Caenorhabditis elegans: one gene and its partners. The protein of the gene in region 2 interacts with the protein of the main gene of each other region in a pairwise test. Each region holds a gene or a part of one and is shown on either strand. Other genes may lie near its edges. The genes, in order: xbx-6, Y47D7A.13 and gsto-3.

Region 1 (4,646 bases), 5.3 Mb from region 2:
GATTGGGTGTCGCCCCGCGAACTATTTTTTGACGCATGCGCCTTTAAGTGTACTGTAGAAATTCTGCGATGAATTTTCACGCTTTTTTCGATTTCTCTCTTCATTTCCCTTCTATTGTCTTCCGTAGGGAATCAAAATCATACAAAGTTTTTAAAAAATTAATAAAATTTTGGATTTTGTAATCTGTTTTATCGTCTGGAATTTTTTTAAGCTTAGAAAAACTTAGTAAATTATGTAAAAGTTTCGAGATTGTTAGCATTTAACTTATTGATCATCTCACTATTGTTGATGAAATTTTTTGTTCAAACTTTTGATGTTTTCACTTTCTCCTCATCTCTTCCGTTTTTCTACAGAGATTTCTTGATCTCTCAACGGTGACTCAACATTTTTCATTCTATACAACTGTTCCCTCACTTTAAAAATTTCTATATCTCTATGATATAGTTTTTCTTTCGATTCATGTTCCAGTGTTAGATGTGAAACACTGCTTTTAAGCTTCACTGCTTTTTCAAAAGAGTAGTGGTCTTCGAGCATCAACACATGCGTTTCTCTTGTTTCTCTCCTTTGGCCGAGGTCGTTGTATTTTTTGTTTGACCTGGCGAGTAAAAGAGAGACAACGTTTCATTGCTTTCTCTGTTCCTGTTTTTCATAGATTATCACGTCGTTCTTGTTCCGACAATACAAAAAAGTCACCGTTCAAACTAAAACCTACATTTTTGAATAGATGCTCTATATTGAGAACTACTTAAAACTCTTGTTTTCTGGTCGACATCGATTTTTTTTTGACGAGGCAAACCCCGACCATTGCAAACAATAGAGACGCAGATATCCAAAGCCTTGGTCAGTTTACTGCGTCTCTTCTCTCAACGAGATCTCATCACAATTGCCCGATGCTGCATTCTCGTGAAAGTGAAGAAGACGTGCCATTCTGTTGCGAAATCACACGTCTTCTTCTTCCACTGCATTTTGGTTTTTCTACTTATTTGAAGTCTAGGCATGAATGAGAAAGATAATACCCGTCTCAGTTTTCGAACGAAGAACGTTGAGCGTATTTACTTTCCTATCGACAAATATGAGTACATTCGTTCTTTCTGCTCGAACGCTAAAAATTCGTGCTCTAGCAACACCAGAAAGTACCGGAGTTTGAGTTATTTGTAACTGCATCTGAAAATCTTTCTATAATATTTTGTCTTCTTAAAAATCCGAGCACCAGTATAAAACACACAATTTTAATACTAAATCTGTAGAAGCTCATCTTTTTAAACTAAAATATGACAAATTCTTCATTCCTGAAAACAATCAAATTATTTTCATCTTCTCAACCATTCTAATCCTTCAATCTAGATATGACTTTCCCTCTAAGCCTTAAAATAATCTTATTTCTTCCTATAACTGACGCACATTTCTCTAGCTACTAGAATTTGTCTGAAAACAGACGAGAAATTCCCCTCGTGAGCTGGAGAACCATGTTTCCATGGAAACTCGAGTAATGTGATAAACAACTGGGACTTTTTAAATTGCCATTTCCATGAAATTCTATACTTTTTTGCTTCTATCTCACTTGTTGACTACATTTTATTCTTGTATTTTCGTTTCAATAATATTATTTAATTCCAGATATGTCGTACAATCAACAGCCATACAACCCGGCTTATCAGAATCCCTACCCCAATCAAGGCCCTCCGCCACCAGGATTCAATACAGGCGACGGACAAAATCAAAATCAAGGTGAGAGATTTTTTAAAAACAAAATAAAAAAGTCAGCGATATCAGAAGTTAGACATAAATTAAGAATATTTTAACTTCCAAAATAAATAAGTAAAGAAGATATCGAAACTTTTAGCAACTAGCTCTTCGATCAATAAATTTGATCATTTTTTAATTGTATTTTTGTAATGTGACGTCATTAATCGAAATACCAAAGGAAACCCGAAAAAAAATCGACAAAATTTGTTAATGCGCAAGGTGGATTTTTTTCAAAAATTTTACATTGAAACGTATTAAATTATATTTTCACAACTAACTGTTTTAAAACGATTCAAAACCTCAATATTCTTAAGGTGGAGCCTATTTCTCACCACCGCCACCAATGCACGGAGCTATGTTCAATCAGATGGAAAATGGGCAACACGGTGGTGGAGACAATCCAGATGGAAAGTATTCATTCCAATTTTCTGATAAGACTGTCCGCGCTGCTTTCGTTCGAAAAGTTTTCAGTTTGGTCTTTATCATGGTAAGTAGTACTTTCAAAAAGTTTTAAATCTATTTTCAAAAAATTTTAGCTTTGCATCGTTGCCGCAGTCACTGTTATCCCGTGGGTTCATGATGATACGATGAGAATGGTCCGCAGAAATTCGGCTCTCTACCTTGGGTCCTAGTATGTACATAAATTGAAATCTTGATTAATATTTAATATTTCCAGTGTAATCTTCTTCGTTACCTACTTGTCATTGGTTTGCTGTGAAGGAGTTCGTCGTAAATTCCCAGTTAATTTGATTGTCACTGGAATCTTCGTAAGTTCATTTTAATATAACAAGTTTCCCTTTATCAATCCAAAAATCGTTTTCAGACTCTAGCAACTTCAGTTATGACCATGGTCATTTCAGCTCATCATGATGCTAACGTGGTTCTTCTGGCATTGGCGATCTGCATTGGATGTACGTTCTCCATTGTCATTGTCGCCTCTCAGACGAAATTCGATTTGACTGCGTAAGTTTTTTTTTAAATCAAATCTTTTTTTCAAATGCTGTGCTAAACCTGCAATAAGCGGATTTATACTCTAACAAGCACCAATTTTCTGAAATTTAAGGTACCTAGGTTATTTAGTCGAATTTGAAACTAATTTTTAATATATTAAATATGTTCTGACAAGATGTACGCAGATTAATTTTTGTAAATAGCAAAATTGGCAAAAACTAAACTTAGTTCAGAAATTAGAATGATGACGAATAATTTATAACCACTGATCTTCAAAAAATATATCCGAAATACTAAATTTTCAGCCACATGGGATATATCTTAATCATCTCAATGTGCTTCATGTTCTTCGGACTTGTTGTCGTGATCTGCTCAATGTTCTTCAAGATCAAGTTCTTGATGATGGTATATGCTCTCGGTGGTGCTCTTATCATGATGCTCTACCTCTTCCTCGACGTTCAAATGCTGATGGGAGGAAAGAAATACGAAATCTCACCAGAAGAATATATTTTTGCTTCTGTTCAAATCTTCATTGACATTGTCCAGATGTTCTGGTTCCTTCTCAGTTTGTTCGGATCCAGGTAAGAAATTCATTGGGAAACTTTGAAATTTAGCTAGACATTCTCAATAAACCCTCTGGTTATTTCCAGAAACTGAATCTTCTATTTCTCTATCACATTTCGTGTGGTAAGGCGGTTGAGTTTGTGGTATTTCAAAAGGCACGTTTACTTTTTAGATTTTTTTGTGTCATTGTTCACTAACGCTGTATTAGTAACATTGTGCCAATTTAAATGAATGTGTATTATCGAAAAAATACGATCGCACAAATTTCTCATAATTTTTTTTTGATCTACGCTGTTGACTAGGCTCCTCCCCCAATCTTGTTGCCGCTGTTATTTTGTTGTGGCTGTCTTGTCGAAGGAAGGGGAGGAGCCTAGTCAACAGGGTAGATCAAAAATAAATTATGAGAAATTTGTGCGATCGTATTTTTTCGATAATATGTGAATCATTTGGTTGATAAAAGCAACAATTTTCAGTTTCTATGTTGTGAAAAGCTTTTTATCAACTTGTAAACCTAATTATTGTATTTTTCAGCGACTAAACAACGGCCTTCACCCGACTTCATCGATTCTCGATTCTTCAATTCCTTCTTCTTTTTCTGTTCTATACTAGATTCCATGCCTAATTTACACACTGGTAGTTCACTTTGTTCTTCTTTGCCTGTCCCCTGCTCTGTCCCTCACCCCGAAAAATTTCTAACAAAAAGAAACGAAAACTGCTGTTGTTTAAGATGTCTCGTTCGCTACTTTCCCGCTTAAACTCGTAATTATTTGTGAAATGAAACTTAATATATATTTTTGAATGAAATAAAACATGTATTTACAGCAAACAATAAAACATATAAAAATGTGAAAAGATCTAACGACCTCTTCCAAAGATGTTGAGAAGCATCAGGAAGATATTCAGAATGTCCAAAAAGATTTCCATCGCAGCAAAAATGTAATCTTCTGGTGATAATTCATATTTACGACCACCCATCAGAAGTTGTACATCAATAGCCAAATAGAACATCATTAAAAGAGCAGCAAGTCCAGAATAAACGGAATAAAGGAATTGCCAATTGAATGCCAAAGTGAAGATGAGTGCAAAGATTCCAAATGAGAAAAGAACCATTGAAAGCATGAAAGCGATTCCCATTTTGCTCGTCAAATCTGATTTCGTTTTCATCGAGAAAATAATGACTGATCCACTGCATACTGTGGTGATACATAGACAAATTAAAACTGATTGAACATTATAACAAGCAGTAACAAACATTGTCATGACTGCTGCCGAGAGAGTCTGAAATATACAATAATTTTAGATTTCCTTTTACGAAAATTAACACATGTTTCCAGCAATCCTACCGTAGCCTACCCTATCTCAAAGCACATTAAGAATTCTGAAAT
Region 2 (3,472 bases):
TGCCGGTTTCTGAAAATTTAAGTTGCCGAAGCAGTAAAATAGAAAAGAATATGCTGATCCAAATTTCAATACGACCTTCACACAAAAAAAAATAAGACACAAACTGATTTGAATCGACAAATATCCTGTTATACTCTAAAAAAATTGTCCTTGTTATGCAAAATCGGTGGGGGTAGCACACGGAACAAAAGCACTGATAAAGATCAGGGTTTTCCTCAAATTTTTTTTGCCAAATAGCTTTGGCAAACGAAAGGAACAGGATTTTTTCAAGAAGCGGAAGGATTTATTTTCCAATGGCAACGCGAAATATGGGGCTAGAGAAGGTGAACACGGTTGCGTCAAAAACAAAAGATAACGGCAGGTTTCTAGAAAAAATGAAGAGATAGGAGAATGAGGGAGAAAGAGGATAGAAAGTTACGTAATGCTGGAAAGGCAAAAAAACTGCGTAAAACATAGAAAAGGCTTTCACTTATTGGGTTATCAATTTTACTAATATGGTGAAAAATGAAAGGAGAGAAGGTGCAGAAAATCACGATTATTTTCAGAAAAAAAAAATCTTAAATCGGAGTAAATTCGTGATGTGCGAGTTATGACTCAGTGAACCTGAGCCCATCGAGGACAGGACACAATGTATTAAGTCTACCATGCCTGCATTGTGCCTACTACGCTTGGACTGTGCCTACGCGTCTACATTCAAAATTCACCTGAATTCTCTTCACGTTTTTTCACAGATGTAAACCAACTCTGTGAAAGCATCAAAAACTACCAAACACCAGAGTTAGGAGACACTAGGCAGGCAGGTACAAGTTAGGTAGGCAGAACTGAATGCTCGCCTGCCTACGGTGAAAGTCCAAGTGGATATTCTAATATTTTTTGGTTTTTTTTAACTTTTTCGAAAAAAAATCATTTAATTTTTTGCTGTCAAAAAGACACCAAAATCCCGATTTTTCGTCAAAACACAAAAAAAAACTAAAAAATGCCTTGGTAGGCAGGCAGGCATGAGGCAAGAAAATTTCTTGGCAGGCAGGTACAGTTTTGGCGTGCCTGCCTGAAACGTGTCGGCACAAATTTCAAAATTTCTTATTTTACCTAAATTTTGAAGAAAATGAAATCCAAAGAAAGTGAAAAATACAAGTTTTTTAGCAGAAGGCGTGAGGTCGCCTTACCGTCAGGCAGGTGCTTGGACGCCTACATGAACGCCTACAAACAGACCGACGCCGATTTTCTTACGTAATAACCCATAAATGTTGCAAATTCATATATTAAAGTTTCGCGGCGTCACTTAGTGAAACCGGAAGTTCCAATGGTCATTTATAAGCTTTGTGTAATCTACTCTCCTATACTTCTACCAAAATGATTGGCAGATTAATTGGTACTATAGAAACTAATTTCTAAGTTCCACCAAACCTCTTGATACAAAAACTATCCACTTAACATTTGTATACCGTTTGTTTACACATCCAAAACCTCATAAAGGAGGTCTTACACTTGACTTAACCTCCTTCTCGAATTATTCAAGAAAAAAACCTCAATGAGAACAATCACAGAATGGCCGCCAAAACCGGTAATTGAGATAGTTATCTTCCCCACTTGGAAGTACCCGCCCAAAAAAATGAGGTGAAGCTGTGAAGAGGGGAGGGGCTTGGCTCTCTGGGGTCTCTTCGGTAGGTGCGATCTCTCGTTTAGAAAGTGTTACGCAAGGTTTCATGATCCATTGGCACCATATATAAAGCCGATTGGTTCAGACGGAATTATTCAATTTAATACGATTTTCTTTTGTGTATTCTCAGATTTTCGCTACTACTATTTTTTCTCTTTTTTATATGTTTTTTCTTTCATTTTATTGAAATGTATAATTTTTTTTTAAATCTTTTCTTACCGTCTACTTCATTTTCACCCTGCTTATTTTTACAAATGAACTTTGCAGAATGAAGTACATCGTCTTCGTTGCTCTCTTCGGATGCTCTAACGCCTTCCTCTTCAACCTTCTCGGAGGAGGTGGCGGTGGCTGCTGTGCCCCACCACCACCACCACCATGCGGTGGAGGATGCGGAGGAGGTGCTCCAGCTGCCGGAGGTTACGCCGTCGCCCCACAAGCACCAATCGGTGGAGGATACGCTCAACCAGGAGGTGGATACGGAGGAGCTGGAGGATTCGGAGGAGCTTACCAAGCCGCCCCAGCCATCGGAGGAGGAGGCTCATACGCCGGAGCTGGACCAATTGGAGGAGGATTCGGTGGAGCTCAAGGAGGTTACGCCGGAGCTGGACCAATCGGAGGAGGAGCTCAGGGAGGATACGCCGGAGCTGGACCAATCGGAGGAGGAGCTCAGGGAGGATACGCCGGAGCCGGACCAATCGGAGGAGGAGCTCAGGGAGGATACGCTGGACCAATCGGAGGAGGAGCTGGATACCAAGGAGGAGCCCCAGCCCAAGGAGCCGGATACCAACAAGGACCAGCTGTCGGAGGAGGAGCCGGATACCAGCAACAAGCCCCAGCTCAAGGAGCCGGATACCAGCAACAAGCCCCAGCTCAAGGAGCCGGATACCAGCAACAAGCCCCAGCCGCCGTCGTCACTGAGCAACAACAAGTCGGACAAGGATACCAACAACAGCAACAAGCCCCAGTCCAAGAGCAAGCCCCAGCTCCAGTCCAAGAGCAGGCTCCAGCTGCCTCATACGGAGAGCAGGCTCCAGTCCAAGCCCAACAAGAGACTGTCCAACAAACCTTCGAAGCCGCCCCAGCTCAAGCTCAGCCAGCCGCCGAGTACGGAGCCCAGCAGCCAGCTGTTGCCGAGCAAGTCGTTGAGACTTCCGCTTCCGGATACCGCCAGAGATTCCACCTCAAGAAGGCCGCCAAGGCATAGATTCGATGATATATTTCTCTAACTGTTTTTTTTTTGGTTTTATGGTTTTTTCTGTATATTTCTCGTTAATGAGTCAAAATTTGGTCTTTCAATGAACTTTGTTCTCTTGATTTGAGTTTGTATTCTTATAGACTTATGAAAAAAAAACACGGGATAATCATCTGAATCTCGAGGCAGCATGTGAGAAAAATAGCAGGAATTTTTGTTTTAGAACATTGTTATAAAAGTGAAAATTGGTTCAAAGAAAAATATAAATATCAATTTTGAACGGAACTTTTTGTGTTTAAAAATTCAAAAAAAGCAACATTTAAAAAAAGAAAAATCGGAAGATCAAAGTTTCATACATTCAAAGTCAATTATCTCTAAAACTTAAAAATTCACAAGTTTCCACAATTTTTTTCAGTCGTTGGACTGCTTAAAAACTCTCAACTAATGCAATTGCCTATTGATATTTTTAAAAATAACCGAGATATAACTTTTCAAAATAAAGTAATCACAGTAGAAATGGTACGCAAAAACAAAGTTCAAATCGAAATTTGAAATTTGTCTTAACAATTCAGCAGTGGTCTCAGAGGGTACATAAAATACCTAGTTTTAACATTTGTGAA
Region 3 (5,767 bases), on a different chromosome or scaffold from region 2:
CTTGATTATTGAAATTAAAATTTTCTATATAGGAACTTGATATACCCAATTTCTATTAAAAAATTGAATTCGCGCCGAGCAAAATGTGATGTCAATTTCAGTTTTCCAATTTTCTCAATTTTTTTGACCACTAACTAAAATTTTGATACCAAAGGATTTTTGCTCAAATTTCGAAATAATTGCGGTAAAATTGGCTCTAAACACTAGTTTTTGACCTAGCGAATTTTGATGTCAATTTCAATTTATTTACATTTTATTTGGAAATTTTCTTCACTGCGGATCCCTAGCAAAATTTGTTAAACATCACTTTTCCGAGCAATTTGTGATGTCGATTTCCGTGTCTTTACACGGTTTTTGCCTTTTTGCTTAAATTTTTCAAAAATTTCAGTAAACCCCAACCAAAATGAATTTTACTCACAAATTTCGCTCTTCAATTATTTTTTTAGTGAAATTCACAAAATCTGACCTCACCCTAAATTCCCACTGAGCACATTTGGATGTCGATGTTTGTTCAAGTTTTTGGCCAAGTTTTAAACAATTGCAGTCAAATTCAACCAAATCACGTGGTGTCAGTTTGTCCCATTACGGTTTGATCTACAATGCGGGCATTTTTTGCCCAATCAATTGAGAACTCTGCATCACAGCTACCACATTTTTTGTAGATATACGTAGATCAAACGGAAATTAGACACTCTGGCACCACTTGCCAAATCATATGCAAAACTGCTCAATGGTAGAATTTGACAACCCAAATTGCTCATCAAGTTTTTGTGTCATTTTCCGCGCAAACAGGGATTCAAATTTCTGCCATCAAAAACTCATTTTCTACAAAAGAACTACAAATATTATTTCAAAAAGGCGGCAGTGGTGGTCAAAGAACAAACATCTGAACATATTGAAGAAGGTGTCTCTCTCTCTCTCTCTGTCTTTCCCTGCTCACACAAATCTGTGTGTCTCTCTCCAGAAAATAACAACACTTGAGGTTCACGGGAGGACGGGGGGAGCTCCCGCCTGTGCTCCAACTCTCTTGTCATGCCACTTTATGTTGCTCCAGTGTTTTTGTCTCTCTAAATCTCCAGCTAGCTGTTCTTTCATGTTCCCTTAGCCCCAATACCGCCGCCTTTCGATCTTTTGGCTGTTTTTTGGGGGATATAAGAAGTTTCGAGGAGGAAGACTAGATCTATTCATCCTAAAATAAATTTTTTTTCTTTTTTTTTAGGCTTTATCAGACTCTAAAATGCTCGTACGACACCAAATTCCAGATTTCAGTTTTCTATATTTTCGGTCCTATAATACTATATTCAAAAAATTAGCGTCTTCGAAGGAATCTGACATCTAAAAGTTCTATTGGTCTTTTTTCCGGCAAATCGGCAGATTGCCGAAATCAAAAATTTCCGGCAAATTGGCAAAACGGCAAATTGAGAGATTGCCGGAATTGAAAATTTCCGGCACAGAGGCAAACCGGCAAATTGCTGATTTCTCAGAAAAACTGCAATTGCCGAAAATTTTCGGCTAATTGAGGTTTTGCATTTTATTTTTGGCAAATTGCCTGAATTGGAAATTTCTGGCAAACCAGCAATTTGCCAAAAATGAAAATTTCCGGCAAATTGCCGATTTGCCGAATTTGCTAGAAAAAAAATTAATCGGCAAAATTTTACGCATCTATTTTGAAAAGAAAGCAAATTCTATGAAAATATCTAAAGAAAATCTTTTAAAAAAATGCACAGTTTTAAATGTTTCATTCCTTTCAAAAATCCCTCTAACCGCTTCCGGCAAATTAATATCCGGCAAAGGGCAAATCACCAAACCGGCAAATTGCCAATTTGCCGAACAAAAACAACTGAATTATGCTATTAATAATTCCTGGTTCCTGATTTCCAATTTTTGATTATTTCTTACTCACTTCAGTATCGGAAAACGTTCACAACTTTGGAAAGAATTTGATGCCCGTAATTTGCTGAATAAATTTAATTTTTTCAATGTCCAGATGGTCCTACCTGGGAATTGTTCCACGTCGGCGGCACTATGTATGCAATTCCTCACCCAACTAGCAAGTGTAGCAATTGATCAGGCTTATCAGGTACGCATTACATTTTTTTGCTTCAAAATTCAACTCAGCTCGATTTCCAGCCACCCCAGCAGCCAGCCTACAACCCCCACGAAAAACTATTTGTATCATATCGATCAGTTCCACCGCCAGGATCATCTCCATCATCGGCTGCAGTTCCGATTCGATTCAGCTCATATTCAAGTGTCGGCTCAAATATACGTGGTTTAAACTCTCCAACGTTACATCCGGGTAGTATCGAACCTCCGTTGACACCTGGCAATTATCGATTATATAGTATGCGGTTTTGTCCATATGCACAGAGAGTATTGATCTATTTGGCCAAGAAGAATATTCCGTTAGTTTTTTGTTTTGTTATAAAATTTTAGATGTATTGATTTTGAATGTTTTCACGTGGCCTGGTTACAGTTTGATCTATCAAAAATGCGGGAATAAATAATCGTTAAATAATCGATTTTTAGGTAAATTTTAGAGTTTCGGCAAGTTTCTTTCCGATTGCCAAGTTTTCTTACGGAAAAAAACGCCTGAAAAATTGGCAAATTGTGTTGAAAATTATAAAACCAAGAAAAAACACAAAAAATGTCATAAATGACGTCACAGCCTTTTTTTTTGTTGAAAAATTGAAAAAAATTTAGAAAAGTTCTATAAATTATTTCACAGTTTTTTTCGGTTTATTAGGACGTTGTTTTATTATTTAATACAAAAACCCACAGACGGTACCAGAGGTGGGCGGATATTTTTTTCGGATATTTTCTAATAATGAATTTATCAATAAGTATTGATGTAGTTATTCTGGAACAAATGTATCCGAACAAAAAAGTAACTATTAAGCAACATTTTAATATGATAAAACCTAGAAAAATTCTACAAGTTTTCTGTATAAACAATATGCAAGTCCATTATCCGATATCCGTAATATCCGTAATATCCGATATCCGATGTTGCTCGGCTAATAAGTTTTAAGGTCTCGGTAAGGAAAACTTGTGGAATTTCTCTAGGTTTTATCATATTAAAATGTTGCTTAATAGTTACTCTTTGGTTCGGATACATTTCTTCCAGAATAACTACATCAATACTTATTGATAAATTCATTATTAGAAAATATCCGAAAAATATCCGCCCACCTCTGGACGGTACTTCTCCTTCAAATTAAATTTTTTTCCCAGAAAAGTGTAATTTTCGACAAAATTTTTTTGCAGTTTTGACATTTTGGAATTTTTGGAATTATGACATTTTTGAAACTGTCAAAAATCTCAGGAAACATCTAGCATTTTTCTAGAAATTAAAAGATAAAATTGCAGAACGTTTGCCCACCTTTCACATTTTAAAAAATATGAAAAGTTTGCAAATATCCAGTTTTGGAGCAACATTTTTATTCTAATATTTTTTTTTCACCAAATCGACATTTAGTTTTGTTATAAAAGTCTCAAAGCATTCCTAAAATTCTAAAAATTACCAAATTTCAGAGTAGAAGTAGTAAATGTAAATCCGGATAGAAGTCCCAATTGGTACCTTCCCAAGTCACCAATCGGAAGAGTTCCAGCACTTGAAATTAATGGAAAAGTTGTGTGGGAATCGAATGTCATTGTTGAATACCTTGATGAACTATTCCCAACTAACACTATTTTGCCACGAGATGCATATGAGAAAGCTCACCAGAAAATTCTAGTGGAACGATTGTCGCCGGTTAGTTTTTGAAACTTTGTTCCTCAAAAATCTATGGAAATCCTAATTTTCCGGTCGGAAATGTTTTAAACACATTTTTTTTTCTTAAAGTTTTGGAACGTTATATTTTCTTCTTTTAAATTTGATTATTCACATTGGAAAGTTTTTTTTCAAAATTTCTACGATTTTTTTCTTACAGTTTTTTGACACTTCACAAACTTTCCTAAAGTTTCCAGACATTTTTCAACAAATTTCATGATTTTTTAAAGTTTTAAGAACTTTCCAGAAGTTTCCACACGTTTATTCAAACTTCTAAAAGTTTTCGAAGATTTTTGGAATTTTCCACAACTTTCTAATACTTTTCTGAAGTTTATTGAACGTTATCTGAAATTACTGTAGTCCTACAGTATTCCTACAGTACGAATACAATAACAGGCGGAAAAAATGTCCGGCAAAACGGAAAACTGCCGGAATTGGAAATTTCCCGCAAATCGTGGTTTTGCCTTTTTTTGGAATTTTTAGAAAAAAAATTTTCCGGCAAACCGGCAAATTGCCAGAAATGAAATTTCCGGCAAACCAGCAAATTACCGGAAATGATATTTTCTGGCAAATCGGCAAACCGGCAAACGGCAAGTTTGCCGAACGGCAGTTGCCAACAATCCCCTGCTACAAAGTACACCTTTTTTTCCTTATAAAAAGTCCTTATAAAAATTTTTTGAAATTTTTTTCTTGTTCTTACATTTTGATACTCTTATTGTCGATATTTGGAAAAACTTCGATGAAAAAAAACTGAAACTTTTTTTTTGAAAAACAAAGGAAAATTCAACTTTGATAGTGAGTTCGAAACATTCGATTTGTTTTTTTTTCTATATTTCCTAGTTTTCTAAAAGCTACCCATTTCAGATAATGAACGCGTTATTCGAATTCTACGGTAGTTCCAATAATCCACAGGCTCAACGACAAAACGACATGAATGTTCACAGTGCGCTAAGGAATTCGGAGAATTTGCTCAGAGACACTTTTTACGGAGGTAATTTTTGAAAAATTGCCGATTTGCCGATCTGCCGGAAATTTTCAATTCCGACAGTTTTGGCCGGTTTGCCAATAGCCGGAGTAAATCGTTTTTCGTCCACCCCTAATTCTATCCACAGTTACAAGCCGGGAGTGCATCAAATAGCCACTAAATTTTTTACATTTCCAGGCCGTCAACCAGGATACGCCGACTATTTGATGTGGCCATTCTTGGAACGCCTCCAACTGCTCACAATGTCTCCAAACTCACAATTCCGATATTTCCCAGGACTTCATTACCCGAAAATTGGAGCATATATTGCTAGAATGCAGAATCAGCCAGAGGTATTAGGTTTTTGCAAACACGATTTTTTTTTGAAAAAAACTGGGGAAAAAATATGGTGAAGTTCTGAAAAATCTAATTCCAGATAAAATTCTCATCCCGCCCGCTGACCCATCACAAAGCCTACCTGGATAGTTTTTCAATGGGTGTGCCGAATTATGATTTTGGCATTTATGGGAAAAATTGAACAAAATTTGTAACGAACGTCGTATTTATATAATTATAATAAAGTATTTTTTGAAAAAAAAAACTCTCGATTTTTGGTTAACTAACTCTAAATGTTTGCATGAATTTTCTAACATTTTCCAAAATGTTCAGACAAAGGCAAAACCATAACGCGTAAAGGCGCCCCCTTTAAAGCTGTAGAAGTGGAAAAAACTGCACTGTACGTCATTAAAAAAAATTATCGACTTTGAGAGTGGCCATCTGGGTGTACTCCCATTTTGTAACTTTTTTTTTTTGGTTTTTAGCTAATTTTTCGATTCTTCCAACTACAACTAGTAATTTAAAGACTTTTTTAAGTTTGAAAATTTTCAATTCTGTTTCAAGAGTGTCCATTGAGATGTACTCCCCACTTGTTACCAATTTTTGTAAGTTTCGCGTAACATTATAGTTTTCTGAGCTCCACGAAAATTAAAATTCGATAATATTTTTATTGCTTTTGAAAGAACCACACATTG

What was found.
Region 1: the proteins of Y47D7A.13 (region 2) and xbx-6 interact in a two-hybrid assay, tested with the Caenorhabditis elegans proteins (one large-scale study listed by BioGRID).
Region 3: the proteins of Y47D7A.13 (region 2) and gsto-3 interact in a two-hybrid assay, tested with the Caenorhabditis elegans proteins (one large-scale study listed by BioGRID).

What each region holds. Positions count from the first base shown.
Region 1 is NC_003283.11:9,703,741-9,708,386, forward strand, and holds xbx-6 (Protein lifeguard 1-like), read left to right. Parts: upstream 1-1,615; 5' UTR 1,616-1,619; coding exon 1,620-1,728; intron 1,729-2,060; coding exon 2,061-2,233; intron 2,234-2,282; coding exon 2,283-2,377; intron 2,378-2,422; coding exon 2,423-2,513; intron 2,514-2,569; coding exon 2,570-2,709; intron 2,710-3,002; coding exon 3,003-3,278; exon of another isoform or gene 3,279-3,347; coding exon 3,348-3,354; 3' UTR 3,355-3,384; exon of another isoform or gene 3,385-3,600; intron 3,601-3,792; coding exon of another isoform or gene 3,793-3,799; 3' UTR 3,800-4,087; downstream 4,088-4,646. Other genes in the region: tag-120 (Transmembrane BAX inhibitor motif-containing protein 4), read right to left, coding at 4,117-4,539.
Region 2 is NC_003283.11:4,434,384-4,437,855, reverse strand, and holds Y47D7A.13 (Prion-like-(Q/N-rich)-domain-bearing protein), read left to right. Parts: upstream 1-1,928; coding exon 1,929-2,864; downstream 2,865-3,472.
Region 3 is NC_003281.10:377,519-383,285, reverse strand, and holds gsto-3 (Glutathione-dependent dehydroascorbate reductase), read left to right. Parts: upstream 1-1,987; coding exon 1,988-2,080; intron 2,081-2,130; coding exon 2,131-2,405; intron 2,406-3,534; coding exon 3,535-3,754; intron 3,755-4,636; coding exon 4,637-4,763; intron 4,764-4,934; coding exon 4,935-5,149; downstream 5,150-5,767. Other genes in the region: K10F12.7 (Ovule protein), read left to right, coding at 716-1,105.